7 linked regions of the Ovis aries genome follow. The protein of the gene in region 6 interacts with the protein of the main gene of each other region in a pairwise test. Links are inferred from orthologs where the notes say so. Each region holds a gene or a part of one and is shown on either strand. Other genes may lie near its edges.

What was found.
Region 1: the proteins of ATPAF2 (region 6) and RPIA interact in binary tests that used the Homo sapiens proteins (3 or more experiments, as listed by UniProt). The two-hybrid records come from large-scale screens. The link is inferred for Ovis aries from reciprocal best matches to the Homo sapiens genes ATPAF2 and RPIA.
Region 2: the proteins of ATPAF2 (region 6) and RAD54B interact in a two-hybrid assay, tested with the Homo sapiens proteins (2 studies listed by BioGRID). The two-hybrid records come from large-scale screens. The link is inferred for Ovis aries from reciprocal best matches to the Homo sapiens genes ATPAF2 and RAD54B.
Region 3: the proteins of ATPAF2 (region 6) and TRIM23 interact in binary tests that used the Homo sapiens proteins (3 or more experiments, as listed by UniProt). The two-hybrid records come from large-scale screens. The link is inferred for Ovis aries from reciprocal best matches to the Homo sapiens genes ATPAF2 and TRIM23.
Region 4: the proteins of ATPAF2 (region 6) and SORBS2 interact in binary tests that used the Homo sapiens proteins (3 or more experiments, as listed by UniProt). The two-hybrid records come from large-scale screens. The link is inferred for Ovis aries from reciprocal best matches to the Homo sapiens genes ATPAF2 and SORBS2.
Region 5: the proteins of ATPAF2 (region 6) and LRRFIP2 interact in binary tests that used the Homo sapiens proteins (3 or more experiments, as listed by UniProt). The two-hybrid records come from large-scale screens. The link is inferred for Ovis aries from reciprocal best matches to the Homo sapiens genes ATPAF2 and LRRFIP2.
Region 7: the proteins of ATPAF2 (region 6) and PKP4 interact in binary tests that used the Homo sapiens proteins (3 or more experiments, as listed by UniProt). The two-hybrid records come from large-scale screens. The link is inferred for Ovis aries from reciprocal best matches to the Homo sapiens genes ATPAF2 and PKP4.

Annotation. Positions count from the first base shown.
Region 1 is NC_056056.1:59,395,660-59,399,613, reverse strand, and holds part of RPIA (ribose-5-phosphate isomerase), read right to left. Parts: intron 3,120-3,954; coding exon 3,051-3,119; intron 2,379-3,050; coding exon 2,237-2,378; intron 484-2,236; coding exon 384-483; intron 1-383. UniProt on the Homo sapiens protein: Catalyzes the reversible conversion of ribose-5-phosphate to ribulose 5-phosphate and participates in the first step of the non-oxidative branch of the pentose phosphate pathway.
Region 2 is NC_056062.1:82,849,218-82,853,171, reverse strand, and holds part of RAD54B (DNA repair and recombination protein RAD54B), read right to left. Parts: intron 3,863-3,954; coding exon 3,637-3,862; intron 3,366-3,636; coding exon 3,158-3,365; intron 1-3,157. UniProt on the Homo sapiens protein: Involved in DNA repair and mitotic recombination. May play an active role in recombination processes in concert with other members of the RAD52 epistasis group.
Region 3 is NC_056069.1:14,060,433-14,064,386, reverse strand, and holds part of TRIM23 (E3 ubiquitin-protein ligase TRIM23), read right to left. Parts: intron 2,379-3,954; coding exon 2,257-2,378; intron 192-2,256; coding exon 1-191.
Region 4 is NC_056079.1:15,017,002-15,020,955, reverse strand, and holds part of SORBS2 (sorbin and SH3 domain-containing protein 2), read left to right. Parts: intron 1-1,733; coding exon 1,734-1,822; intron 1,823-3,195; coding exon 3,196-3,242; intron 3,243-3,954. UniProt on the Homo sapiens protein: Adapter protein that plays a role in the assembling of signaling complexes, being a link between ABL kinases and actin cytoskeleton. Can form complex with ABL1 and CBL, thus promoting ubiquitination and degradation of ABL1.
Region 5 is NC_056072.1:10,384,037-10,388,682, reverse strand, and holds the start of LRRFIP2 (leucine-rich repeat flightless-interacting protein 2), read right to left. Parts: upstream 2,866-4,646; 5' UTR 2,632-2,865; intron 1-2,631. UniProt on the Homo sapiens protein: May function as activator of the canonical Wnt signaling pathway, in association with DVL3, upstream of CTNNB1/beta-catenin.
Region 6 is NC_056064.1:34,281,876-34,285,459, reverse strand, and holds the end of ATPAF2 (ATP synthase mitochondrial F1 complex assembly factor 2), read right to left. Parts: intron 2,630-3,584; coding exon 2,517-2,629; intron 2,138-2,516; coding exon 2,022-2,137; intron 1,302-2,021; coding exon 1,164-1,301; coding exon of another isoform or gene 1,084-1,163; 3' UTR 884-1,083; downstream 1-883. Other genes in the region: DRC3 (dynein regulatory complex subunit 3), read left to right, coding at 1-114, 219-332. UniProt on the Homo sapiens protein: Plays a role in the assembly of the F1 component of the mitochondrial ATP synthase (ATPase).
Region 7 is NC_056055.1:151,057,219-151,061,172, reverse strand, and holds part of PKP4 (plakophilin-4), read left to right. Parts: intron 1-1,273; exon of another isoform or gene 1,274-1,619; intron 1,620-2,292; coding exon 2,293-2,845; intron 2,846-3,954. UniProt on the Homo sapiens protein: Plays a role as a regulator of Rho activity during cytokinesis. May play a role in junctional plaques.

The sequences.
Region 1 (3,954 bases), on a different chromosome or scaffold from region 6:
ACCTCCAGCACCTCGCAGGAATCTAACAAGCGTGGGCGAACTGAGTCATTCTTCTCCAGAGAACAGGCCAGAATCAAAGAGGTGACAGTCAAGCTCTTTGCAGAGAGAGTGCGTTTATTTCAAGGCAAGCCCCCTGACACACCATCGGCCCCATGCCTGCCCCAATTGAAACGGGTTGTGAAATGCCAACTAACAAAGCTGCTAAGTGAGCAGTAACTGTTTTCAGGAGGAAAAGGCAAAGGCAAAGTTAGAAATTCCAAACATGTTATAAAGCAAATTCTTCCCACACAAGTCTCAAAGCCAAAGCCACTGTGCTTCCCATGGCCAGAGGCAGGGGACGGCTATGAAGAGCCTGGGTGTCTACACTCAAGAATATATGTTACCTGGGATCATTTTGATGGCTATGTTCACGTCACTCCATTTGTGGACCCGGTCAAACTTCCAGTCCAGGATGAAGTTCCCATTATCCGTCACCACAGGACCCTAGAAGATAATTGCCCACAATGACGAGATGATACAGATTCAGGCAGGCAGAGGGGGCAGGAGAGTGGAGGTGATAACCAAGGACAAGTATCAAGCAACCCACTCCAACCAGTACTCCCACCTCATGCTTTCTATTACTAGAAGGCAGTGCTATGAAGCAGTCATGAGCAGGAGTCCTGAAGCCACTGAGGCAGATATCTCACAGGGGCCATTTTGCTTTGTGAGCCTCAGATTCCTCTATGGCAAGAAAGGGATAATGAAACCTACCTCCTTTGGCAGCTCATGCATAAACCACATGGGTAAGCATTTACCACAGTGAGGGCACAGTGATGCTTAGCCATCATTAGAGTGAGAAACTACAGCAAGAGAACAGACAACCAGTATGGCTCAGTGCTCCCAGAGCTTTACACTGAGAACCATCAGTGATGCAACGTGAGACAGCTTTCCCCCCAGATCAGGTAGACCCAACAAAAAGATGGAGCAGTGAGGGGTCCTGGGGTCACAGCGGCTGGGGGTACTTTTAGTTAATTAACCCAGTATCACACAGCAGCTTTGGGCACTAGAAAGCATATAGGACCACAAATGTTGCCAGAACACAAAGACTGCTCTGCAAAATGGGGGAGTGGGAGCCCAGAAAGAACACACAAAAGCAAGATGCTGGGCTCTCGTGTGGAGGAACCCCAGCTCTGAGAAAGAACCCTGACAATTTCTTCTCGAATCCTCAGCTACTCAGGGAGCCAGAGTTGGAGCTCAGTGTAACAACTATGATTAAGACTGGTTTTTTAAAAAGTCACAAAACGCCAGGAAGAAAATACATTAAAATAAAATAAAAGTTCATCAGGGAAGAGTTACAGATAAGTTGCTTTCTCTCCTGTATGTTTCAAACTTTTTATATATAGTTCTGTCTGCAACTATAGTTAATTTTTGAATTATTACTTCTGCTTGTTTAAGTGTAAGAAAAAAATTTCTGTTCAACCCACTTTAGAAGCTGAAGTGAAGTGTTTGGACTAAGTATCTGGAGTGTATTTCTGGGGAGGAGCTTACATCCCCCCAAGGAACTCTACTTCATTTAACCACAGGATGAGAAAAGAGGAAAAAAGAAAATCATACCACAAAACCTGAATAACTCTCTGCCCCAGGAGGGACTCCCCAAACCCATTTTTAGCAGCTGTTAGAGAGATCCAGGTACAAAGATCAGATCACCCGAGGAGCATCAGATTCCAAGGGACAGAAAATGTGCCCATTTGTACAGGGAATATACAGTGTGTTAAGTATAGTCTTGTCTACATGAGTTTGAATATGGAAACTGATATAGCCAGTGCTCTGAAAATAAGCCAATAGGCTGATTAAAAATAAACAGAACTTCCATGGTGGCACAGTGGATTAAGAATCTTCCTGCCAATGCAGGGGACAAGGGTTCTATCCCTGGCCTGCAAAGATTCCACATGCCGCATGGCAACCAAGCCCATGTGCCACAGCTACTGAGCCCGTGTGCTGCAACTACTGAAGCCCACGCACTTAGAGCCTGTGCTCTGCAACAAGAGAAGCCACCACAACGAGAAGCCCACGCGTCTCGAGTAGCCCTGACTCGCCAACACTAAAGAAAGCCCTTGAGCAGCAATGAAGACACAGTGCAGCCGATAAATAATCCACAGGAGCCACCTGCCCAGTCTGGGTATAAAGGACCTAACGGAAGCAGGAGGACAGGCCCTGAGAGCCTGGGACACCTCCCAGAAACCTTCCAGCCACTCACTGCCTTGTTGACGGCCATCCGAAGTTCAATCACGCCCCCAAACTTCTGGGTCACAGTTCGGCTCACTGGGACATAGGCCATAGGGATGACCTCAATGGGGATGCCCTTGTGCCACTGATCCCCGAGGTTCTTTGAATCTTTCCTGGAAAGAAAAGAGTCAGAAGTACAACAGATGTCAATAAGCTCAGTGGTACAGACATGCCAAATTCAGGCATGGAGTTACTAACGAGGTGAGAGGGCAGGGCCAAGTGTACAGGGCTTCAAACAGACTGGCTGTGCTCTACTGTTTTTAAAAAAAGTATGTGAAGTAAATATGACAAAAATATTAAAACCTGGATATGACTGACTTGTGGTTAAACAGGTGTGAGGAACATAATCATTTATGCTCTTCCTACAGCTGTAATTTTTTTTTAATTAACATGCTCAGCATAAGTGCCTTCTAGTAGACTCTGAGAGCCTGGTCAAAGACTGTCCACAACACAAGTCACATGTGGCACAGGGGAGGCAGGGGTGCCCAGGGGCAGGCTTGACCCGCTTCCTCCGAGACGCCTTGCAGGGAGCAAATGGAGCGAATGAGTGATCAATAAGGACATGCTCTGTTAACGAGTGTGACATCTGTTTCCTCTTTCAAGCGGACACAAGAAATAGCAGTATCTTCCTTCAGCACCAAAGCAGAACATAATTGTCCAAGGCACTCTCCTGAGTCACAGGAAGGAGTGCCCCTCCCTCCAAGCTCTTTTTCTCCTCCATAAAATGCGGGCTGGCGTCTGAGGCACCTCCTCAGTGGACAGTTCAGAAACACTGAACATCGTACCTGAAATCGGCAATCACAATGAATCGATTGGCATTGCCAGCCACAATCTTCTCCTGGGTTAGGCAGCCTCTGGGGAATGGGGAAGAAGCAAAGGAACAAACATGGGGCTAAGTAAGACAAAATCTGAATTTGGGAACTAAAGTCAGATATAGGAAACCAAAATCCATTCAGTTTTGACACTTAGAAATTTAATTTTTAATTCTTAAAGGAACAGCCCCCGAACTCTATCACACGGTGCAGATTGTGTCTCCTGCCCTCAGCCCCCCAAAATTCATCTGGTGAAGGCCTAACCCCTAACGTGACTATATGTGAAAGATGAGGTCTCTAAGGAAGTAACTGTGGTTCAGTGAGGTTACTGAAGTGGGGCTTTGCTCTGATTAGGATGGATATCCTTCTAAGATGATACCAAAAGGCTCTTACTCTCTCTCCCTCCACCACAGGAGGCTACACTGAAAAGGTAGCCATCTCCAAGCCCAGGGCTTCAGAACTGTGACAAACAAATTTTTCCCTTGAAGTCACCACGTCTAAGATTTTTGTTATGGCACCTGGGCTAAGACCTGCTGCTTCCAGAAAATGGACTGTGGAAGCAGGAGTCTGTGTCCGGGAGAAAGGGTTCCCAGTGGGGCCACAGGCATAACCCAACTAAGACGCATCTGCTAAGGAGCACAGTGCCTGGGGGAGGTCATGTGACTGTGGCATGAAGGGGAGGTTACTCCCCTTTGAACAACCTGCCCTTTCTGCCATCTGACAGCCAGTTAGGAAGCAGAGAGAGCACAGCGAGACTTTAAGCACATTTTGTGTCACTCCAGAGTCTGGTTGATTACAAGAACGAGGAGACAGGGACTTCACCTTCTTCAGCTCACCACTTCCTAACTCCCCAAAATTAACACTCAAGAAACACCCA
Region 2 (3,954 bases), on a different chromosome or scaffold from region 6:
GTGGGTTGCCATTTCCTTCTCCAATGCATGAAAGTGAAAAGTGAAAGTGAAGGTGCTCAGTCGTGTCTGACTCTTTGCGACCCCATGGACTGCAGCACACCAGACCTCCCTGACCATCACCAACTCCCAGAGTTCACTCAAACTCATGTCCATCGAGTCAGTGATGCCATCCAACCATCTTATCCTCTGTTGTCCCCTTCTCCTCCTGCCCTCAATCTTTCCCGGCATCAGGGTCTTTTCAAATGAGTCAGTTCTTCATATCAGGTGGCCAAAGTATTGGAGTTTCAGCTTCAACATCAGTCCTTCCAATGAACATTCAGGACTGATCTCCTTTAGAATGGTTGGATCTCCTCGCAGTCCAAGGGACTCTCAAGAGTCTTCTCCAACACCACAGTTCAAAAGCATCAATTCTTCAGCACTCAGCTTTCTTCACAGTCCAACTCTCACATCCATACATGACCACAGGAAAAACCATAGCCTTGACTAGACGGACCTTGCTGGCAAAGTAACGTCTCTGCTTTTGAATATGCTATCTAGGTTGGTCATAACTTTTCTTCCAAGGAATAAGCATCTTTTAATTTCATGGCTGCAATCACCATCTGCAGTGATTTTGGAGCCCCCAAAAATAAAGTCTGACACTGTTTCCCCATCTATTTCCCATGAAGTGATGGGACCGGATGCTATGATCTTAGTTTTCTGAGTGTTGAGCTTTAAGCCAACTTTTTCACTTTCCTCTTTCACTTTCATCAAGAGGCTTCTGAGTTCCTCTTCACTTTCTGCCATAAGGGTGGTATCATCTGCATATCTGAGGTTGTTGATGTTTCTCCCACCTTTCTTGATTCCAGCTTGTAACTCATCCAGCCTGGCATTTCTCATGATGTGCTCAGCATATAGGTTAAACAAACAGGGTGATAGCAGACAGCCCTGTGGTACTCCTTTCTCGATCCTGACCCAATCAGTTTTTCCAAACAGGTTTCTAACTGTTGCTTCTTGACCCACATACAGCTTTCTCAGGAGAGAGGTAAGATGGTCTGGTATTCCCGTCTCTTTAAGAGTTTTCCAGTTTGTTGTGATCCACACAATCAAAGGCTTTAGTGTAGTGGATGAAACAGAGGTAGATGTCTTCTGGAATTCCCTAGTTTTCTCTATGATCCAGCGAATGTTGGCAATTTGATCTCTGGTTCCTCTTCCTTTTCTAAACCCAGCTTGGACATTTGGAATTTCTTGGTTCTCATAATGCTGAAACCTAGCATGCAAGATTTTAAGCATGATCTTACTAGCATGGGAGTCACTGAATCAAACTGTCCGACTCACAAAGAGTTGGACAAGACTGGGTGACTAAACAACAACAACAAAATAAAATCTAATTTGTAATGCTAGTTAAGTTGGTATTTTCTTATAATTGAGAATACTAGTAAAACTGTTCACTTTTGCTAAAGGACATTATCTGATTGTCAAATAGAAGAGAATCCATTTTTTTGTGCTGGGTCTGGGTCTGGTTGCCACGTGTGGGCTTTCTCTAGCTGTGGTAAATGGGCCACTCCTTCATCATGCTGTGCAAGCTTCTCACTGAGGGAGCTTCTCTCGTTGCGGAGCACAGGCTCTAGCCAGGCTTCAGTAGCTGTGGCTCTTGGGCTCTACAGCCTGGGCTCAGTAGGTGTGGTGCTCGGGCTTAGTTGCTGCACAGCATGTGGAATCTTCCCAGACCACAGACCAAACCTGTGTCCCCTGCATTGGCAGGTGAATTCTTATCCACTGCGCCACCAGGGAAGTCCTCTTTTTTTTTATTCTCCTATTATTATTACCCAAAAGTAATCTGAATTTCTCACTCTTTATTTTTGTTTCCCCCCTTGAATGCCAATCTTTTTAACACTATAGCTATTACTACTATTTAGATAAGCAATATTGATGCCACATTGAGCAGTAAAAAGAAATAATCTCTGCTTTGCTCTTTTCTCCATTGCTTTTCTGGCCCCAAGGATTTCAAAAATCAAAGGCTAGTCAAGAAGTATAAAGAATCCACTTTGACTAAATATGAGGAATGTAAAGGTCATTTAACAGTTCCCCAAATCATTTCTAAAAAGCATATATAGTCTCAAAAATCACATTTGGTAATGGTAATACAATCCTTCTACACAAATTGGAAGTCAAATAGCCATAAATTATTTAAAAGTGGGCACCCTCTATAGCCCAACTCAGTTGAGAGCACAGCAGGAGGGCGGTTTCTCTGTTGCTCCACAGCACACTTCTACCCTGAAGATGTATATTGGAGGAATAAGCTGTTGGTCACACCCCTTCTCCCTCATTTTAACATCACAGGGGAGCTCTGACATGCATAAAGGACACATGGAGGACACAAAGACGTGGGATATAATCCAATAAAAATAACCATGCCCTGCCCATCCTTTCTAAAAGGATAAAAGATGATCAGCAAAAAGAGTCTTGAGCAGAAAACAGAAGGGATGTAAACATTAGTAAAGACAACTTTTTTCTCCTGCTACCAAAATGGTAAGTTCAAAGCACCACACAAGACCAAAATGAGGTATGGGAAAATAATTCCTTTGAGTTATTCAGGCCTAATTTTAGTCTAGGCCTTAAGCTAAAAAGGATAAGGCAGAAAAGTATTCTTACATTTATGTACAGTCTATCCCACTTTTCCAGACAACCTGGGCTAGAAGCTTTGGCCAGCAAAAAACCATATGCATACAGCACAAACATGGAAAAATAAAGGATATTTGTATTAAACACTTATCATGTAAGGGCAGTCTTCCAAGAACTTCACATGAATTAACTCATTTGACCCTCAAAACATAAAGAATCTATTTCACACATTAAGAAAATTGAGGTACGGAGAAGTATAACTTGCCCAAAGTTGCACAGCTGTCAGACTTGGAAACCAAGCTCAAGCAGTCTAGCCCCATCTTCTACTTTCTTTACCATGATACCATCGTGTTTATTCCTCAAAGAATCCAAAATCTGGGAAACATTACACAGGAATTTGATAATTCAGAATCCTACAGAGACTCAACTAACCCAGGTTGATTAGTATGAATTCCACTCAATATCATCAATTCTTTGGATGTCAAATATCATACTACAAGTTCTGCATATTCATTAGGCAAAATACCATCATATCTCACCCAAAGTAAATACAGACCAGTTAAAATTATCCTTTTCTCACAGGAGAGGCTAATGAGGGCTGTAGTTGTCTTAATGGTACTGTTCTTCAAACGATGCCCTTCATCACAAATTAGAAGATCAAATTTTACACTCTTAATTTGATCCAGGGAACGAAGTAACATTTCATAACTGATGATAAGAACAGAATAAAATGGAGATTTGGTGAATTCTTCTATTTTGTGGTCCTTAAAAAAAAAAAAAAGGGTAACCTTTAACAAATCATGGGCAAAAACTATGTGAAATTAAATAAAACCAGCATACTCCTGAAAACCATTATCTAGGTATTAGAATATATTAACTCATAACGAAATTGTAAGGCAAGATTCCATCTATCAGAAAAAAAGAGAACTACATACACTTGAAAAACTGCTAGATAGACAGTGAAAGCTGCAGCACTGATTTGAAAAGCCAGAGATTTAGCAAATGACCAAATCTAAATGTTCAAAAGTCTCTTACCTGATCAACAGTAAATATCTTGATCCTTTCGATTCCTAGCCATTTTTGGAATTCTTTCCTCCAATTATTCACCAAGCTTCCGGGTGTGACAATAAGTGTCTTCTTTACTACTGGCCTGCCTCCATAGGGTCCCTGACACTGTAGGGTCCAGATAAGCGAAATACATTGCAGTGTTTTCCCTAAACCCATTTCATCGGCAAGAATAGCTCCGCATCTGCCATTCACCCTGTTAGAAATAATTATATTTCCTTCAACTACAAAATGAAAATATTTTATGCCCCTAACATCATCACCTATTAGTCAAAAACCAGAAGCTGA
Region 3 (3,954 bases), on a different chromosome or scaffold from region 6:
ATGGCATGCACTTGATGCTGAGAGCACATGGTCTTCTCATGCGGTTTATCAGCTAGAGGCACTCTCCTGTGCTTTGCTAGTGTCTTCGTAGAATGAGTAACTTGGGAACACTCTGAGCACAAGTGAGTTGCACATACAGTGCAATATACAGATGCAACATGAGCTTCATCTTCATCACAACGAATGATGCTCTGATAAACAAAAAAGTAATGTATTAAAACTAAACCCCTTTATTAAACAGAAACTGACTGAGACCCAGAAAACAAACTTATGGTTACCAAAGGAGATACCAAGGGAGAGGGAGGAGAAATAAATTACACATTACTATATATAAAATAGGTAAACATCAAGGACCTACTGTACAACACAGGGAACTATACTCAGTATCTTATAACAATTTATAATGGAAAAGAATCTGAAAAAGAATATGTGTGTGTGTTTGTGTATAACCAAACCATGTTGATGTATGCTTGAAACTAACATAATATTATAAAGTAACTATACTTTGATTTTAAAAAAATTTTTTAAACTAAACCCCAATCATTATAACATGCCAAATTTTGAAATATAAAAGCCCATAATCTTTATATATATAAAAATAAACTGATCATTAAATACAAAGGTCATTCACTACTCACGTCTATAGGTAAGTGAAAGCTATTTCCAAAACTGATCATCAATATATGCTACGAATTTGAGGCCAAAAATAAAACCATTATTTTAGATTCACTGTCAGTGCAAAGGTATCTACTGCAAAATCCCCTCACTTTATACACAAGAAACGAACAATAGAGGATAGAAGTCTGTGTTTTTTAAGACTGAAAGAACTGATAGTAAATACTTCCCCCCTGCTTTAAATATACTTGTCAGCATAATGTATAGAAAAAGAGAAGCACAAATTTTATTACTTAGATAACCAAGTGAAGCTTTTAAAAAGATGCTTGGACTCCAACCTGAGAAATACCCATTGCTCAATAGGTGTAGATGAAGTCCAGGCTGTGTATTTTTTCTAAAACTCCATAGCTGAGTCCACTGCACTATCCTGGTTGAAAATCATTAAATTTAAGAAAAAAATAAAATAAATAAAATAAAAATGTTACATGTAACCTTATAAATGTTTATTATTTTTATGAATTAGTTAAAAAGCATTCTGAGTTGTCAATTTTACATGTCAGATAATCAAGAATGCTTCAAAAACTTTTTCTAAATACTAAAAGGCCATAACTGGAAAGGGAAAGATTTGGTATAAATTTCTGTAGAAATAAAAATTAGAAAATATATCAATGGTATCATTCAGTATCACAGTAAATAAAAAATGAACCCAAAGTTAAACAACTTTGCTTACAACTATGAAAAATGCCTATGTATAAAATTAAAAAGTCATGTCTTCTGCTTTCTAGAGCTGACAAATTTGTAAGATCAATGTTAGATAATCCTCAATGTCTTTCAAACTAAAGGTAAAAGATAAATCATGGGAAAGAACTGCAAAATTTTTAGAAAACAGTGCTTCAGTTTGAGATTACTTTCATTGATTCACTTCATATAGGAAATCATGGTCTAATAAAAGAGAAGTAAAAAGTCAATCTGACATTTTCCTTGATACTAAACATGTGGTTTTCAAGGTGTTCATTAAAATTATTAACTATTTACTGAACAACTATTCCTATATTCAAAACAGTCTATGAGTTATATAGACAAATTTTATGCTAAAAATGTGTATTTTAACTTGTGTTAATGGCCTTCTAATAATTATTGGACACTAACCTGTCTGGATAAAGAGAGTACATCTACATACAATTTAACTTTTCATGAAGATATTTAATAGTAATTCCCTCAGGAGCTATGGCTACCTGTAAGGCATTTTGTTTCTACGCTAAAAGGTCCCTTTCATGGAGTTCCTCTTTCTTTCTCTGTGCTTTAACTGTTGAATGATTCACTTTTGCATCCTCTGCTTTAAAGTAGGCTACATATCCTTCGTATTCATCCATAATCTTACTCTTCCACTTTACCCTTATGTAGAACTAATGATGATAAGGAAACAAGTTCATACAAAAAACAGAGTTTGCATATATTTTCAGAGAATTCAAGCTTCAGTTTTGCTTTTCTTCAGTTGGGGATTCTGTTGCCTTCAGAACTACAATGTAATGAAAAGTTGTGTCTCTGGCATCCTACTTCATAGGGCAAGTGAAGGTAATATTGTGCATATAATGGCAAATATTTTAAATTTAACAAATATTTCAACAGTTCAATCGATACCTCTCCAGATATCCCAATGGCTTCTTCTGCAGCTCCATACTGACCAGTATGTCCATTCTGTAGTCTTTCCAGAAGCTCCAATAAAGCAAAGTTTTTCTTCAGTCCCCAGACACCTGAATCTCCTAGAATATAAACATATAAACTAAATATAACAAAATGGAATATTATTTATTTTACCCCATATCCTGATAGTAATTTCAATGTCTCACAGTTCAATCATTAATGTTTAAATTTTCAAAATTCAAAATTCCTCCACTTCCTATTAATGATATAACAGCAATATTAATATTCTCCTTAAAACACAGAACTCCTTAGCATTCTAAGCAGAAACATTTTTTCTTTTCTTATTCTTTTTCTATAATTTAACTTCAATATAATTTATAATTTATAAATTCTATTTCCTCACTTTTACTATATATCCAAAAAAAGTGCTTTAAATATTTTTTTTTGCTTTAAATATTTTTAACAGCAACCTACAGTAAGAAATATATTTTACATTGCAACCCAGTATAATTAATACACACACACACACACCCACACACCACTGAAACAGAAGATTTACAAACCAAAATTCACCCTCGCAGTGTGCAACAAACTGATTGGTTTTATCCTATTTCTTTTTAAAAAATATTATTCACAGACAGTTAAACTGATTTTATGACCACAAATATGGTCATAAAATATGATGCATGTTTGAAAATCACAGTATGAAAGAAAGATACACTTAACCTAAAATAAATCCATCTCTAAACTGGAACTACAGCAGCTAAAGACATTTCCCCATATCTCATCTAACCTAGAACCCTAAGGGCAATCAATAAATATATAAACTCCTTCCCACACACATACACAGAGTTTCACACTAAAGTCTGACGATACTCCCTTTTAGGTAGATAAGACTTTAGGGCACATCTGAATGAGGACCAATGCCTCTTTTCCCCAGAACTGACCATAAAAGGCCAGGTGAACAAGCATATGTGCATCCATACGTGGCCACACACATGAGCACACATAAACACAAACTCTTCCTAAGACTATAAATAAAAGACAGATCCTCTGGAAATTAGAAGGAATATCTGTTACGCTGAGCTTCTATACAACAAATACCATCTGACACAAAGCTGCCACCTAATACATACTCATTGAAAAAACAAAAGAATGATGAAGTCAATGGTTACAAGGCTTCCGTCCTTCTTGGCCCCTCTTTTCTAAGGGAGGAAAGGAAGGAAGAAAAAAAGGAAGGAAGAAGGAAAGCTGAAGAAAAGGTAAGGAAAAAAGCCATTTCTAGTTATGGTTCTTCAAAAAAATATTTTTAACTAGGCTAAATATCTTTACCCTCCTCTCTGATTTCTGTGACCTCCTTTCCCAAGTATCTATATGCAGCCCCTACCCAGCATTTCCCCCCTGTCTTGCCATCCTAGCAAGGCTTTCTGAACTGATTTAATTTTTCACACATATTCTACATCAAACTGGGTTCTATCCACTTTGTTTATAAAAAATTAAGAAGTACACTAAGTCCTTTATTTAAAAGTATTATCTTGACAGTATCCAAATACTTTAATTATATATTAAACACAAACACATAAACTCCCAGTAGTATTTAAACAGTATCTATCTAGTGCCTAAGATATCATTTAATTTTTCTGTGACTATCAAAATAAATCAATATCTCAATGACTTAAAACAACAAAGATTTGC
Region 4 (3,954 bases), on a different chromosome or scaffold from region 6:
AATAAATAATTTGCTTACATTCTATATAGAAGATAAAAAATTAGCACACTCAGGAAGCAAAACCAAAATATGTAATGTAGTAATTGATGGGCAATTAACAGATTAAATAGGACTTGTTTAATAACTTTCTTCTTTTAAAAGATACAACTGATAAAATTTTTGTGAATATATCTTTAAGCTGTATATGTAAAAGTCATATTTCCATCAGTCATTTATTCATTTTCTCTTCCTCTCCATTATTTAACTTATTTTCTATTTCTGCTAAAACAATCCTGTACTGACATCTGAATTAGATTATTTAGGATAAAAGTGACTCTCAACTTCATTTTCATAGATTTCTTAAAGTGGAACACAAGAACAAATACAGAGGACATTTTTTCAGGTATACATCACTGGAAAACACAGGATGTTTTGATATTTTTATCCAATCCTTTTCATTAATGCTTAAAGTGCATTTGTTTACTGTGTAAATTTTAAGAAGCTGGAATGAATTTTCCAGGCTGAAACTTGGATTGTTCACAGAATTTTTTAGCACCAGACATTCCAAAGTGCCTTACACATATTTTCTATGTAAGGCATAAACTTAGATGATAGATATTATTGTAAGCACTGTTTTACAGATGAGGAAATTAATACACAAAGAGGACAATAAATCTGACCACAGTCACACAATGAGTAGGTAGCAGAAACAAGATTCAAATTCATGCAATTCAGAATTTGAGCACAGAATGTATAACCCAACTCTTAGTAACTATTGCACAAATTTTGTTATCTTATTAGTATTTATGTTTGTTTTCATTTATACCATATGACATGCTTCAAAAACAGTAAATTTACATTTTTAAAATCAAAGTCAGCAGCTTGAAATTTTCACTGATTGAGACTTGTCATAATGGAATGTTTTCATAAATTATCTACCTTTTCCAGTTATTCAATATCATTTACATGTCCACATATAAAAGCATAAGATAGATACTTGCATTTTTATTTTATAATGCAATTAACTGTGTATATTTTGTTTTAAGGCAAACAAAAACAATGCAACAGTTCATAAGCCATTGGCCACCAGTACGACACTTTCTGTTTAGAAAACTTTTATCCTTTTGTTTCTTGGGATAAATATTCACTTTCTAATCAGATAGTTGGAACACAAAGGAAGCAAATAGATGATGGCCTATTAAGCCTTAAGCCTTAAGATGTCATCTTCAGACTCAATAAGTCACTAAACACAGAGAGAAAGAGAGAAGAGAATGGTCACGATGTAGTTCTGCCATCATATTTTTTTGTTTTTCATTACTACATCCTTAAATTGTTCCATAACACGCTTCAGTTTTTATAAACGGTTGCTCCCGTCTTCAGCTTCTACAGGCTCTATCATAGTAATTATAAACTGGTGGCAAAAAGAACAGCAAGTATTACATCTTTGAGATGAAAAATCCCTGTAACTTTGAATTACCTATAGTTGGTGCTGCAGCATAATTATATCAGCAGTGTAACAATTAAACCTTTATATTTATAATACTTCTGAAATCTTGGATTCTTTTCCTCTAAAAGTGCTCTCTTTTGTGTCTTATATCACATCTTTGTAATTACCTATGAGTTTTAGGCCTGTGTTTTCCATTGTGGTGTCTTTCCACATTTGAAGGGGAATATAGTTGCCACCAGGGAAAATGGCTAATCAAGTCTGCTTTTGATTATGTGGATACTCACTCTGGCCCTGTCCTTTCCAACAGACCATGAGTCCCCTAGGAGTTACTCGGCCACACTGACTGATCTTGGAAGGACCGCACCCAGGGAAAGAAGAGGAACTCCAGAAAAAGAGGTAGTCTGCTTAGTGGCACTTGAGTCTTTTTCAACAATATACTTGAGAAAGCATTTGCCAGCTGAAGTTAGTGTAAAACCAGTTAAGAGCCCTGATTAAAAACATTAAAGTGTTGATGGAGAAACTAGAAATTAGTTTTCCCTGGAGACCAAGCAAAAGATTTGAAGCCACGGCATTCTAACCTGAGCAGCACGTCTCCCCCAGTTGTAGTCCAGTTTTGAGAGTGACTCTCTGAGTCTTAACCTGACCTATAGATTAATAGCTTTGTCTGAAACAGTCTTGAGCTGGGCCACCCCTTGGAGGAAGAAAGCTTTCCCTATCGAGATTTCTGGCCCAGCGATGAAGGGGACAGTCCTATCAGCTGTGCTGCAAATCAATACAGATTCCATGGAAATAATTTTTGCTGCCCTGCTCTTTTGGGGGAGGATCCCTGAAAAAAACCCCGCTGTTTCTGGGAACCCCCAGCCTGCTGGCTCTTGTCCGTGGTCCTGAGCCAGGACTGATGGTCTGGCTTGTACTATCTTGGAGCCATGAAGGTTTGATAAAACCAGAAGGCTAGTCCTGGACTGTCAGCCACTCCAGAAAGTTCTCTACCAGTGTCTAACACAGTCCAATGCCTGTGGATCCAGGATCCAAAGCCAGGAATGATCCAGGATGCCCAAAGTCCACCAGAGTCTCAGGGAAAGAGCAGTGAGAGGATGATTGGCATCAGAAAGGAAGAGCTCAGGTATGTAGCTACAGGTGCGCCAGGCAGATCTGTGGGCCCCAGAGCTCGAGTGTGGGCTCGTGTCAAATCTGGTCAGGACTCAAAGATGAGCAGCTGGTTTACTGGGTGCTGAAGAGTTCCTGAACTCCCCAGGGAATACAAAATGACCAAATCCATGCTTTTGGCCACTAACTAGCCTCTCCATGATAACTAGGCTATATTTCTTTGCTACTATGTTAACAAGTGTTTGGTAAAAGGAGTAATGACTTCCTTCGTGACTTTTTCCAGTCCTTTAATTATGGCTCAGAAGCTGTGTCAATACTTAGGACACAGAACAATTGATCTTCCACAGTTATCCCAGGAAAAGCCAAAATTATACATAGGACCAAATCCTCTGCAGACATTTTATTCCCCTTTCATGGCATACATTTACCTTAGTCCCTAAGATGAAATGTGATATTCAACAATTATGGTGAATAGGTCATCTGTTATAGTTTAACTATCTAAAAAGAACCAATTGATTTGCTTATAAATTGCATATATGATTTACATTGTATATGTTTAATCAATCCTTCAAGTTTCATTTCTCTTTAATTCATATGAAACTGATTTTTTAATAGGAAATCCAAAATTTTAAGTTAGCATCAACCATTTCCTTCCTTTTCAGAAACTGCCTGCAAAAGCTGTTTACGATTTTAAGGCTCAGACATCCAAGTAAGTATAAGCATTCATCATATGATTTAAGTTGACTTTACATACATAAATAATACATTAAAAGACAAATATTGCACTGTGATGTTTTACAAATAAGACCTAGTTCCCAATTCAGCAATCAACTCTAATTAAGCGGTTCCTTTTGAATTAATTGGGATGTGGGCGTAATTTTATTTTCATATTGAGTTTCATTGAGAAACATTGAGTTTTAAATTACACTAAATATGTTTGAGCACAATGAGTTCAAAAGGATACGAAAAACAAAACGAAATTAGGTTTGTTTCTAGAATTTTCATGTCAAGAGTGAAGTAAAAATAAAGTGTTGGGGAGTAATTAACACTTAGAGAATTTGATAACATTTATTTATCCAACTATATCAAGGATAGTTTGTGGTTAAAGACTATAACTGTGTACAAAAACTCCAATAGTAAAAATCACCATTTCTCAATACTCAGAGCTTAAAGACTCTGAGTACATTTTTATCCTGTGCCATTTTTTTTTTTCAAGAGGTTAACATTTTATCTATTTATTTGGCCACAGTGAGGGTCATGTGGGATCTTAGTTCCTCAACCAAGGATCCAACCTTTCACCCTCCACAGTGGAAGCATGGAGATGGAGTCTTAACCACTGGACTCCCAGGGAATTCCCTATTCTGTGGTCTTTAATGTTGGTGTTTTCACAACACAAATTGTGTTGGAATTTTTCACTTTTT
Region 5 (4,646 bases), on a different chromosome or scaffold from region 6:
TTGTAGGTACGATGGAAAGTGAACCTGTGGTGAGGACAGAATGTGTTTCCTCTAAAATGATCCTCATCAACATTCCCAACATGGTGCAGGGAGATCCCCCCCCCCCCCCCATATATTTTCGATTCTGTTCCTCTTCACACTAGGAGCAGGGTAAACAATTCACAAAGAGCTTTGCAAGAAACTGCTCCCTCTCGTTTCTAGTAAAGATCTGTTGTTGTTTTGAGAGAAAAAGAATCTACTTTGCCAAACATATTCTCCGAATCAGTTTTTCCCTTCATTGTGGAGATGCTTAAATCCTGACCTAAGAAGGATTCTCTTACAAATCTACCCATCAGGACTGTCAGTTCGGGTGGTTTCCACAAGGGATTTTCCAAAAGGGAATCTCTGTTCAACTGGAAACTGAAACTCACCATTAGCTGGACAAAAATCAAAAGCAATATTAGGGAACACTCTGAATATAAGAATGGATATCCAAGGAAATAAAATGCCAAAATTTAGTTCAAGAATTAAAAGAATTTACTAAGCAAGATCAACAGGGCAAATTTACCATTACTTAATAATTGATAATTAACTATACAGTTCTTTATAAATCAACATAAAATAAGCTGATTTCCAAAAATAGAAGAAATCAAGGCTAAGAGTATCAAGAACTCTGTGAGTCAAAGTCATTTTGCTTAGCAACACTTTAAAAGCCAAAAATGATCAAGTTACATTCCAGTAATTAAAAGTTATTTCTAATTTAAAATGAATTCATTCCCATAATGAATCACTACTTTAATATACGCTTTCTTCTACGACAGAACTGAAGCAGGAGCTCTGTATAGCCTTCCCAGGTGTGTCGGTGGTAAAGAATCCGCCCACCAGTGCAGCAGAGGCAGGTGAGAGAGCCCTGGGTCAGAAGATGCCCTGGGGGGAGGAAACGGCAACCCACTCCAGTATTCTTGTCTGGAGAATTCCACGGATTGGACTCTGGAGTCTGATGGACTAAAGTCCGCTGGGTCACAAAGAGCTGGACACAACTGAGCACGTATAAAGTCTCATTCCACCTTTTTAAGGGCAGATTTTCCCAAATGGGTAAGGTCTTTCCCTCAAACGACTGCTTGTTTTCTGTACTGCAGATTCTTTGAGTGAACTTTTTCCTACCTTAATGATGGTAGCTGTCCTTTTCACTGGCATTTATTTTGTTTCTAGACATTTATCTTCCTAGAGTGGGTAAAATCACAACAATCCACTTAGGAACTAACTGTTCTAAATCCTAAAGCTTCTGCAAAAGTCCACTATTTGTTTCTCTACTATACTTCATGACAATAATTATGAAGCAACAAACCTAACAAAAGCCTCAATGCAACACTTCCTAGGAGTGAAGGTATCTAATTAAACAGGCAGTAACAAACCTCAAACTTTCCTCTATTCCAAGTTTAAGAACCCTATCAATGATTCATTCACACAGCGAGTGACCTAACTTCCTCAATGAATCACACTTTCTGAAATTCTTATTCTACATGAGTATAATAGTCATCATCTCTACATGTGTTGAACACAGCATGAAGTTGGTTAAACTAAGTTAATTCTGTAAGACCTTCAAACCACAGCAACCTCAAGTTCCTGCCAAGTAACTTATCTGCAACACTTTGCCTTTTCCAACAATTGCACCTCTCCAAACAGATGCATCCCCAAAATAAACATTTAATCTTGAAACACTTATTTTAAACACTAATTAAGACCTGATTCATCCACACCCTGCCCTCCATCTCTCTGGTTCCACTACCGCATCCCCATTCTCCTCCCATTGTGATGCCGTGAAAAAGTAATGGACACTGTTATCCTCACACTTATCCTTCAATCAATGAACCTACACTACACTTTTTCTTTTTAGGGCATAAGTGCTGAGTCATTAAATGGAAACTCTAAGAAAAAAGAGCTACAAGCAGTTTAAGTTTAGGATCCCATTATTTCCCTGGCCAGGTCTCCACAGCCTGATATTTGTATATCCCACGGTAGAAAAACCAAAGCAAACACTTGAACTTTTTTTCCCCTCCCCGTCGAAGAAAGAACAAGAGATGGGTTTCCTTAGGTCCTTTGGCTTCCAGCAACATACCCACGGGCACGAGAAGCAGGCCCGGCTGGAGCTATATAACTTAACAATCTGGGTGTGAATAACGCCTGGCCGTAGTCAAGCATTAACCCTGACACTCCTAACAAGCGCTTGTTCTGCTCCTGCTTCATTCAGTTCGGGTCAAGGAGGAAGGGGAAAAAAAAAAAAAATCTCATACAAGCTCTACGCCCTCCACCAGCCTGACACCTTTCCCCGGGTGGCCGGCCGGGGACAGACCGAGGGAGTGGAGAGGGAGGAGGAGCCCTAGCACCCAAAGAGCAGAGACAGCGGCCCGAGTTCATTTCTCCCACAATGGAAGTATCGCCGTCCCCGCTCGCGGATCGAGGCTGCGCGTTCGAGACCCGGCGTGATGCCCGAGGACGCCGCAGGCAGGGGGCGACCTCGACCCCGGGGCCCGCTGGAGGGGGCCTGGCCCCCAGCAGAGGTCGGCGGCAGCGCGGACTTCGCCGAGCTGCAGAGGCCGGGAAGCGCGGGCCCCGCTCCCCGCCAAGGCTGGCGGGAGGAGCGGCCCTTACCTGTGTTCGGGCGCGGGCTGTGGCTGCGGGCGCCGCCGGGAAGGGCCGGAGCGCGGCTCGCCGACCGGGAGCCTGCCGGAGCTAAGGGCGAGGGGCGCGGAAGGTAGACTCGGTCCCAGGTCCCCGGCCAGGCGGGCCGGGCAGGACGCGGCGGCTCCCGGCGCCTACGGCCGGTCAGTCAGTCACGCCGGTGTCCCCTCGGCGCCGCGGCTGAGACAGCGGGAACCGGCCCCCGGGAGGAGCCGCAGCCCGAGCGGCGGGCGGCGGAGGCGGAGGAGGGGCGGGGCCACAGGGTCGGCGACCCGCTCACCCGGAAGTACTTGTGGTCGCGGCGGCGCGCGCTGCGCGACGGGCTTAACCCCCCGCGGCCGGCTGCGTGCCGCCGCAGAAGAGAGTGGGGACCCCGAGTAGGGTGGTGGCTGGGGCGGCCTCCTGAGGTGGTTCCTCCAGGTCCGCGCGGTCCACCCCGCCCCTCCGCCCCCAGGACGGGGGTCGGGAATGTGAACTGATGCGCGTGCCCGTTGGCGGCTACCCCTGCCTCGGTCACCTCTAAACTGTCCGGCCTAGAGGGCTTGGGTGAGTGGGCCGGGGCGGCAGTTCTAACCGTTGGAACGTAGGTGGGTGGGTGCGGCCGAAGCGCTGGAAGCTTTATTTCCAAAATGAATGATTTTGAAATGATTTCCGGTGAAGAATGCTGGGGGCGGGGCTGGGGGGAAAAGAGTCCGTTCAATATCTGATGGATTCGGAGCTGTCATTCAGTCCGAGAGTCTCAGTCGAGATCCACCGGCTTCAGGGCCCTGGAGAAAGACCAGAGGTCCTGCTCTTTGGGAAGCTCATCTTCTAGTGGGGTGGACGGATTTAAGCAAATAAGGTAATGACAGATTGCGGTGAGACTCCGCAGGTGATACACAAAGTGATGAGAGATCCTGTAGGCGAGACCTCTGGCAGGAGAAGACCTCCAGAGGGAAGTGGCAGTTGGGCAGCCTCCTGAGAAGAAGGCACAAAACACTTCGATACAACTTTACATCCGGGACAGTAGTAGGTTCCAGGACCCGCTGAATAAGCCCATGATTCCATGTTAAGAGCCTGGCTCGAATACCTTCTAAGGGCTGTTTGTGTGCTGCCCACCCCTGCGATTTCAGAAGGCTTGCTCACCTTTCAGAGTTCATGAGGGCTGGAGTGTGGCACTGCGAGGGAGGCGTGGATTACGGAACTGTGGTCTTTAGGCAGAGAGACACCAACAGGTGGCTTCATGGCAGGAGGATTCTCATACCATCAGCCTTGGAAAGACAAAGTCTCTAACCTCGCGCTCTTTCTCTTTCCATGTCGCTGTTTTTCTCAGACCTGTGAACAAATATTGAAACTTGTTTTTACCTGGGATCAAGAGGGGCTTAATGTCCCCAAAAGATCACACTATGTTACGATCTGAATAAAAGGATTAATTACGTGTTTTGCTAACTCAGTTAAACTAAAAAGCAGACTTGCAAGAGAGAACCTATTCAGGTACCTGAATAATACCAATAATCCAATAATGTTTATTAAGTATTAGTTTATATGACTGCATAATTAATGGAAAGACTGTTTGGAATGATATTAGGATTGGAAGGGACTTCCGTGGTGGTCCAGTGCTTAAGACTCCGTGCTCCCAATGCAGGGGATCTGGGGTTCAGATCCATGGTTGGGGAACTATTAACAGATCCCACATGCCACAACTAAAACATCAGGCATATAACAATAACAAGGAAAAAGATCCTTCCAGCCACAGCTAAGACCTGGTGCAGCCAAATAAATACTACAAATACGTGTGTGGGTGTGTGTGCTCACACAGTATTGGCACAACATTCTACTAAACTCTTAAATATATTATCCCTTTCAGTACTAGGACCAACCTTGAGATATGGGAATTACTATACCCATTTTAGTAGCAAAGTCATTGAGATTCAGGGAAATAATGATTTGCCTAAGGTAACAAAACTAGTAGATGAGAGAATGTGAAATTTGAACCTGAATTTGAA
Region 6 (3,584 bases):
ACGATAGTTAACGCAGTTGGGGCCTCGCATGACATCCACCTCCTGAAGATTGACAATCGCGAGGATGAGCTGGTGACCAGGGTCAACTCCTGGTGCACACACCTGCTGGACAAGGTGAGCAGATGTGTGGCAAGGGCAGGTGGCAGGGGGTGGAACCACACGCGGGTGGGGGTGGGGCAGACTCAGGCAGACAGTCTCAAGATCCGCCTTGCCCTCAGATTCACAAGGATGAGATCATGAGGAACCGCAAACGTGTGAAGGAGATCAACCAGTACATCGACCACGTGCAGAGCGAGCTGGACAGCCTGGAGTGTGGGGACCTCCTGGACTAGGGCTGACCCCCACTCCACAGGTAGAGAAATAAAACACTTCTGTCAGCTTTCTCCATCCTCTTTGTGTCTGCATCTGAGCAGCTGGTGACTGCTTAGAGTGGCTCCTAGGCTGTTGGCTGCCCCTTCTTGTCCAGGGCAGGCCCTTCCTCAGGGGCCCAGCTGGCTTTCCAAGGTGGAGGCTGTGAGGACCCAAGGACCCTCCAGAGCTGAGAGTGCAGCTGGTGTTATCTGTGAGGTGGGGAGGTGACAAGCACCTCTTCCCAGCACACTCAGGGTGTGGGGACAGTGCTGGGGAGGGGAGGCAGGTGAGCAAGGCTGGGTGGCTCTGGAGCCTTTGTGCCCGAATCTTGCAGACTCCTCCCGCTCCCTCACTTGGGCCCAGGCACCTGAGACCCCTCTGTGCCAGGGCCCTGCAGTGGCTCCTTGAACAGGATGTGTGCGTGTCAGGTGACCTTGCCCAGGCTTTTAACCCAGGAACAAAAAAGATTGTTTTCTGTTTTCAAAAGTAAATCACTTTGCTAAAACAGTAGGAAACAACAGAAACAGACAGCTTCACTTTAAAAGTTTGATTAAAAACCAGGGGGAAAAAAAGGTTGAGGGCCACTAATACCTCCCAGACAAGAAAGTCCTGGTGGGTAACAAGTGTCCTGCAGGTCAGCGGGGTGGCCTCCGGGACCCAGACATGACAGTAGGAACAAGATGAGTGGCAGCTCCTCTCACTTCCAGGCGGAGAAACGTTCAGTATAACCAGTCACTGGTACCCGCGCTCTGGCTCAGCCCAAACCAGCCTCCACTGGCCACAGCATCTCCATCTCAGGCTGAGGGCCGGCGTCACCCCTGCAGCAGCTTGTGCTTGATGGCTGTGCTCTCGGAGCAGAGATGCACGAATAGGGTGCCGGCGGCCGTGCGCGCCCGCAGCTCCTGCAGCTCGTAGTCGTGGGCCCACTCGATGTTGCCCCACTTCTGGATCTGAGGAGAGGACGGGACAGGCTGCAGAGTGACTGCCAAAGCCATGACCCGCCATGGCTGAGGGGAGGAGGCATGTAGGGGAGCGGCAGGTGAGAGTGGAGGCCTGGCCTGCCCACCCTCACACTTGGGACCTGCCTGCATTCTGGGTGTCCACAACATCTGAAGAGCGTTTTATACTCAGAGAACTGTTTGTCAGGGAGAAAGTGAGGTTCAAGGAACAACGGCCCCGCTTGGGTCCTGCAGCCAAGGACAGAGCCCAGACCAGAAGCCAGGCTTCCTGCTCCTGCTGCCCGCCCCCGCTCCCACCCAGCTGGCCCTGACACCAGAGTTGCCAGCTCTCTCGTGACACAAACCAGCTTCTCCCCCTGACATTTTTCCAAGCAGATAACTAGACCAACTTGGGAAAAACTGTCATTACAAAAGGCTTTTCATCATGCTAGGAGTCAATTTGTAATAGCAATTAACCTTCTGAGGCTGGAGAAGTAACAAGGGAACTGCAGAGAACATGGTGATTCTGAGTTAAAAAAATGCCAACGGCAGAGCAGCCAAGCCTTGTTCATTCTGAGCCACTACATCAGACATGGACTCGAAGCAGCCTCGGTGACCCAGGGTGCCTGTCTGCGTGTCCAGGCTTAGCCTCCGTGAGCACACAGGCGGCCCCAGGGCACCTGGGGGGCCACCCGGAGCCTCCACCACAGTGGGGCTCCAGCTCCGCCTCACCTGGTACTCCTCCTCCAGGCGCGACAGTAGGACAGCCTGCTCCACCGTCAGGTGCAGGTCCATCAGCCCCAAGGTCAGCACCAGGGACTTGAGCTGGGTCACCACAAACTCAATCCCTACGGGGACACAGCCAGGTTGGCCCCGGGGTCCTGCTGTGTGCAGGGAGCCGCCAGGTGGGGTGCCAGCCCCTCCACATTCTCAGGAGCCTCTGCTCTCCTCAGGAGTCCCTCCTCTGCCCCTGCCTGGGAAGGTACCAGACCTGGCTCTGCCCGTCAGAGGGAGCGCTCCACCCCCGTGACTATAGCCGGGACAGGGGGACTGGAATGGAGGCTCCTGAAGAGGAGACAGCCACGTCCTCCTGGGAGGGGTGAGCCTGCCAGTCCATGAACCAGGTGACAGCGTCTCCCCCGCCAACCCAGTGCTCTGGTAACCTTGGGCTCTGCACACCATGCCCATCATGCCCACCCTCCATGGCCCACAGGAAACACCACGCACCCTGCAGGGCCCACATGTTGTAAGAGGCCAAGTGGCTGACCAGCACCTCCCGAGTCCGGGCAGGGATGCTGGGCCCCGTAATGCTGGTGGAAGAGCCGATCTCCACGCCGTATCTAGAAGGAAGAGGCCCCGCGTGAGTCTGTCCAGCTGCACAGCCCCGCTACTGCCCAGAAGCAAAGCCCCGGCCTGCCCAGCACACACAGGCCCCATTGGGGGTTTTGGGAGCCACTGCCATCAGGCCTCCTGACCTATAACCTTCTGTCCCTTAGGAGCAGAGGACAGATCAACTATGCATGAAGCTAGGGCTGGCAAGTTAGGAAGCAGGGGCCACAGGCAGCTCCTGAAACTTGAACTCATTGGCATGAAGGTCCATCAGAGCTGTGGGCTGCCTGCTTTTTAGAAGGAAGTCTTCACATGTGAACCATAAAAGGCTTCTTTCAAATATTGTTTTCCTTACAATGGTATTTGTATACATCCTGTGGTTGGTCACTAAGTCGTGTCTGATTCTTGTAACCCCATGGACTGTACCCTGACAGATTTCTCTGTCCATGTCCATGGGATTGTCCAGGCAAGAATACTGGAGTGGGTTGCCATTTCCTCCTCCGGGGGATCTTCCCCACCCAGGGATCGAACCTGCATCTCTTGCATTGTAGGCAGCTCCTTTACCGACTAAGCCACAATCCTGTATCAGTCAATTACTTTTTCACACGTTTATTAATAAGCCTCCATCACACACACAAGGCACTGTCCCAGCGGGCATGAGCTGGCTTCAAAAACAAAACATTTTCAAGAACAAGCATAGCTATGTAAAATGCAGGAAAAATGTAATGAAATGAAAGCAATTTTTGTAATTTTCTTTCATATATCGCTGATCTTTCTCATCGGTTTAGAAACATTCTTCCTGAAGTTTCTAGTACAAATGAAACACAGGAAGGGGCCACATTTTCCTATAATCTATTAATATTATAGGTGAGAAATCTTAACTGCCACCAAAAGTGGACAACTTCTTGCCACAGCAAAAACCTGCAGGCACCGAGCTCATGTCTCACGTCACCGAGCTCCCCAGTG
Region 7 (3,954 bases), on a different chromosome or scaffold from region 6:
TAGAGGGGCAGAGCACAGTTCCCACGCTTGTATAAAATGGGACTGGTCCATTCTAACCAAAGGTTTTGCCTCATCATTGGAATTTTTCTCTGAAAACACGTATCTTTGCTAGAATATAGATATTGCTGCCTATAGAAATCTAGTGTATAGAAGCATAACCATTCTGTTAAGTTAGGATTTACTTATTTGATATTAATAATAATAGCGCATATATATTTATGAAAACTCCTTAGCTCCTCACTCATTGCCACTTTATTCATGCAGTCTTCCAGCATATGCCAAAATTAGTAGAAGTTATAGGAGTCCCAAGCGGCAGTAACCAGTAAGGATGACTTTCTGGCCAAGTGCCCCAGTGATTTCTCTGGAGCTGAAAAATGGCACGATGATCAAAGAAGTTAGTCTAACACTAATCTCTTAATGCAATACAGGAAGCCCTGAAGGTACACACAGCAGTGGGCCAATTTCTCCAGTGCCAAAGGAGAAATACAATACAACTTTAGCTCAACAATTTAAGGGAAACTTTTAAGTATTAAGAAACATTTCTGTATTAAGACAAACACAAATATGGTGCATGAATTTTTAAGCTAGGACAGGAAGTCTTGTGCCCATAGCAAACTGCTTCTAGCTGCAACACCCACTCCCCATTCCTCAGATAATACATTTACTCCTCTGCTGTTCGGGATGCACTGAGGGAATGGTTTGACAAGCTTTACACTCAATGTTTACAGATGTTCACCTGCTTAGGTCAGTCTCTATGTCGGCAGGTCTAAAGTCACACTTCTGAATAATAATTACAAAGATTTTCTATTTTGCCCCTAAGGTGGTCATGTTGACTTTTTAATTTTTTTTTTTTTATCTTAGGTAAGTTGATTTTGTTCCTGGAAGTTGCAAGGGGGTGTTTAAATTTGCATGTATTCTGGGAAACACAGATTGTAGACATCTGAGCCAAGTGTCATCCTTTTTTGATAGTAAACAACTTATATGTGGGACTTTTAAAATTACCTTTAGTACTATTAATAAACCCCAAGCACAGATTTTAATTTTCCAACCGCCTACTAATTTTTAAACCACCTCTTTCTTGCCTTATTGTTTATTTACAGTCCCCTTCCCTCCCCAGACCTCCTCCTTTCCATGGCTATTGCCTTCACAGAATTCTTGAGTTTGAGCACCTGAGTGGTTTCAGACCCGTGTTTCAGGCAACCAGTTGCTTGTGATACATGGAGACAGAGCATATCTCCTCTTATAGCATCTAAGAATACACAAAGTCCTTGAGTCATCCCTGTTTCTTCCTTTATTGCCCCAATTAAAAGTAACAGGAGGTTGATGACAAGTGAACTCTAGTCATCACTAAGGAAATACAGAAAGCTCAGTTCTGAGCTTGTAACCCAACACCCCAGTCCAGCCACTATTCCTTTTTATTGTCATCCTGCATGAAGACAGGGATCTGAGATGCAATATTTGCAAGAGTCTGTGGACTCATAGGACTGGCCATGGCAGAAATGTTCCTTCTTTCCCAGCTGGCCAGAACCCAGTGGAGATTTTGAGCATCCCTCCTGCTGCAACAGATTTGAGGGCTGATTATTCGTATGTCTTTCAATCCACCAGCTTAAGACAAGAGCCTATAAATCAAAGGAGATAGAAAGAAATGGCTGAAATCACTAGCAGCCACATTGAAGCTAAAAGAAAAGACAGATTTGGCTAGAGCACTTGTACAGTGCTCACAGAGGAGACCTTTGGACCCCAGACCCTATCCAAATGTTCACTTATTCCACTTACCTTCCTTTTGCAAATGAGGTCAACTCATAAAGACAGATACAAAGACAATTATAGATACTGCTCTAACTTAACGTATTGAAAATGTTTTGTTTTACACAAATGGGTTACGTTAGCCAAACTTAGATTTACAGGGTACAAAGTAAGTACACTATTCCAGTGACCTGTCACACTTGAGATACAACATACTATGTGTTGTGAAAAGTGCATGGGCAGAGGGTAACATCAAATAAAGACAAAAGTAAAAGGAATATTAAATGTCTTTGAATCTCTCCTTACTGGTTGGTTTTAGTATTCTGAAAGGGAAAGGTGGAGATTAAATCACCAAAAACCAAAAAAAAGTAGAACAAGAAAAACAGAATAAGGAAAAATTAAGATTCAGCTCTACAGCTCAAAAGGAAAGGAAACGCCTGAAATAGTGAGTTCACCTTCTGTAGTTAGCTGTGTGCATGCTTTTCTGTAATGACCATGGATACACAACCCTGGATAAACCATTCTCTTTTCTCCCCCTTCCATCAGCCATCAGTGGCCAATCGGGCCATGAGAAGAGTTAGTTCAGTTCCATCTAGAGCACAGTCTCCTTCTTATGTTATCAGCACAGGCGTGTCTCCTTCAAGGGGGTCACTGAGAACTTCTCTGGGTAGTGGATTTGGCTCCCCCTCTGTGACTGACTCCCGGCCACTGAACCCCAGTGCATACTCCTCCACCACATTACCTGCTCAGCGGGCAGCTTCTCCATACTCTGCACAGAGACCTGCCTCCCCATCAGCCGTACGTCGGATTGGGTCGGTCACCTCCCGGCAGACCTCCAATCCCAACGGACCAACCCCTCAGTACCAAACCACCACCAGAGTGGGGTCCCCACTGACGCTGACGGATGCACAGACTCGAGTAGCTTCCCCATCCCAAGGCCAGGTGGGGTCATCGTCCCCCAAACGCTCAGGGATGACTGCCGTACCACAGCATCTGGGACCTTCACTGCAAAGGACTGTTCACGACATGGAACAATTCGGACAGCAGCAGTATGAAATTTACGAGAGGATGGTTCCACCTAGGCCAGACAGCCTGACAGGTGAGTACAAGCTGACACCTATACAAGCCCAGTGGGAAAGTGTTCCATGCAACCATTGCTAAAACAGAGCATATAATGTGGAAAAACTTTATATTTTTATCTCAAAATTTGTACCGTAGTGTACCGCAGACTGCAGGCTGACTTTTCTCTCAGGCTTTATACTTTTTAATGCATCAAGTTATACACATTTATATCACCAGACCTCTTTTGCAATGAAAACATTTCCCTCATCCCTCAGAAAACTAGGATATAAAAGGTAGGTACTTTTTGCATATTAGAAGAACTGGCTAGAATTCTAAACTATTGATTGCGGTTGTTCATAGTGAAATATTTTTCACTAGCTAGGCCTACCCATTGGAGAAGGAAATGGCAACCCACTCCAGTGTTCTTGCCTAGAGAATCCCAGGGACGGGGGAGCCTGGTGGGCTGCCATCCATGGGGTCGCACAGAGTCAGACACAACTGAAGCGACTCAGCAGCAGCAGCCCTACCCATACTCGAAACCCTAAATTATGTTAAAAGATGGTATCAGAATGTCTATTCAAATATAATACTTTTTTAAAGAAATGCCTTGCTAGTGTAGACTAGAATATGGATTTCCTCACCTACTGCTTTGATTTTTAGCACCCCAATGGGAAATGCACAAAGTTCTTATGAATTGCCTTCAAATGCCACTTGGATTAAGTCAGAAAGACACCGACCAGATCACTGATAGTACAGCTGTTTCTTTCAGAGTTTTCTCATCGTGGGTTTTCTACAGGATGTACAGACTTTTGATTAAAATTATATTCATCTTTAGCTAGTAAAAAAAAAGTTAAAACTGTGCAGGAAAATAAAAATTGTGAAATGAAAGTCTCAGCCCCCTCTTACCCTCACCCAATCCCACTCCCAAGTTTATGTGTCTTCCAGACTGTTTGATTACATATATAAGTATATACATTACGTATAGATGTGGACACACTGTATTTTTTATGCTGTTGGAGCTCTATTATGTATATCTCCTATACCTTCTTTCTTTTTTAATGTATCTGAGGGTTCTACCTCATTCTCTCAAGGGATGCCTAGGACCTTATTTTATAGACATATTATAATTTGTTTAATCGCTTCTCT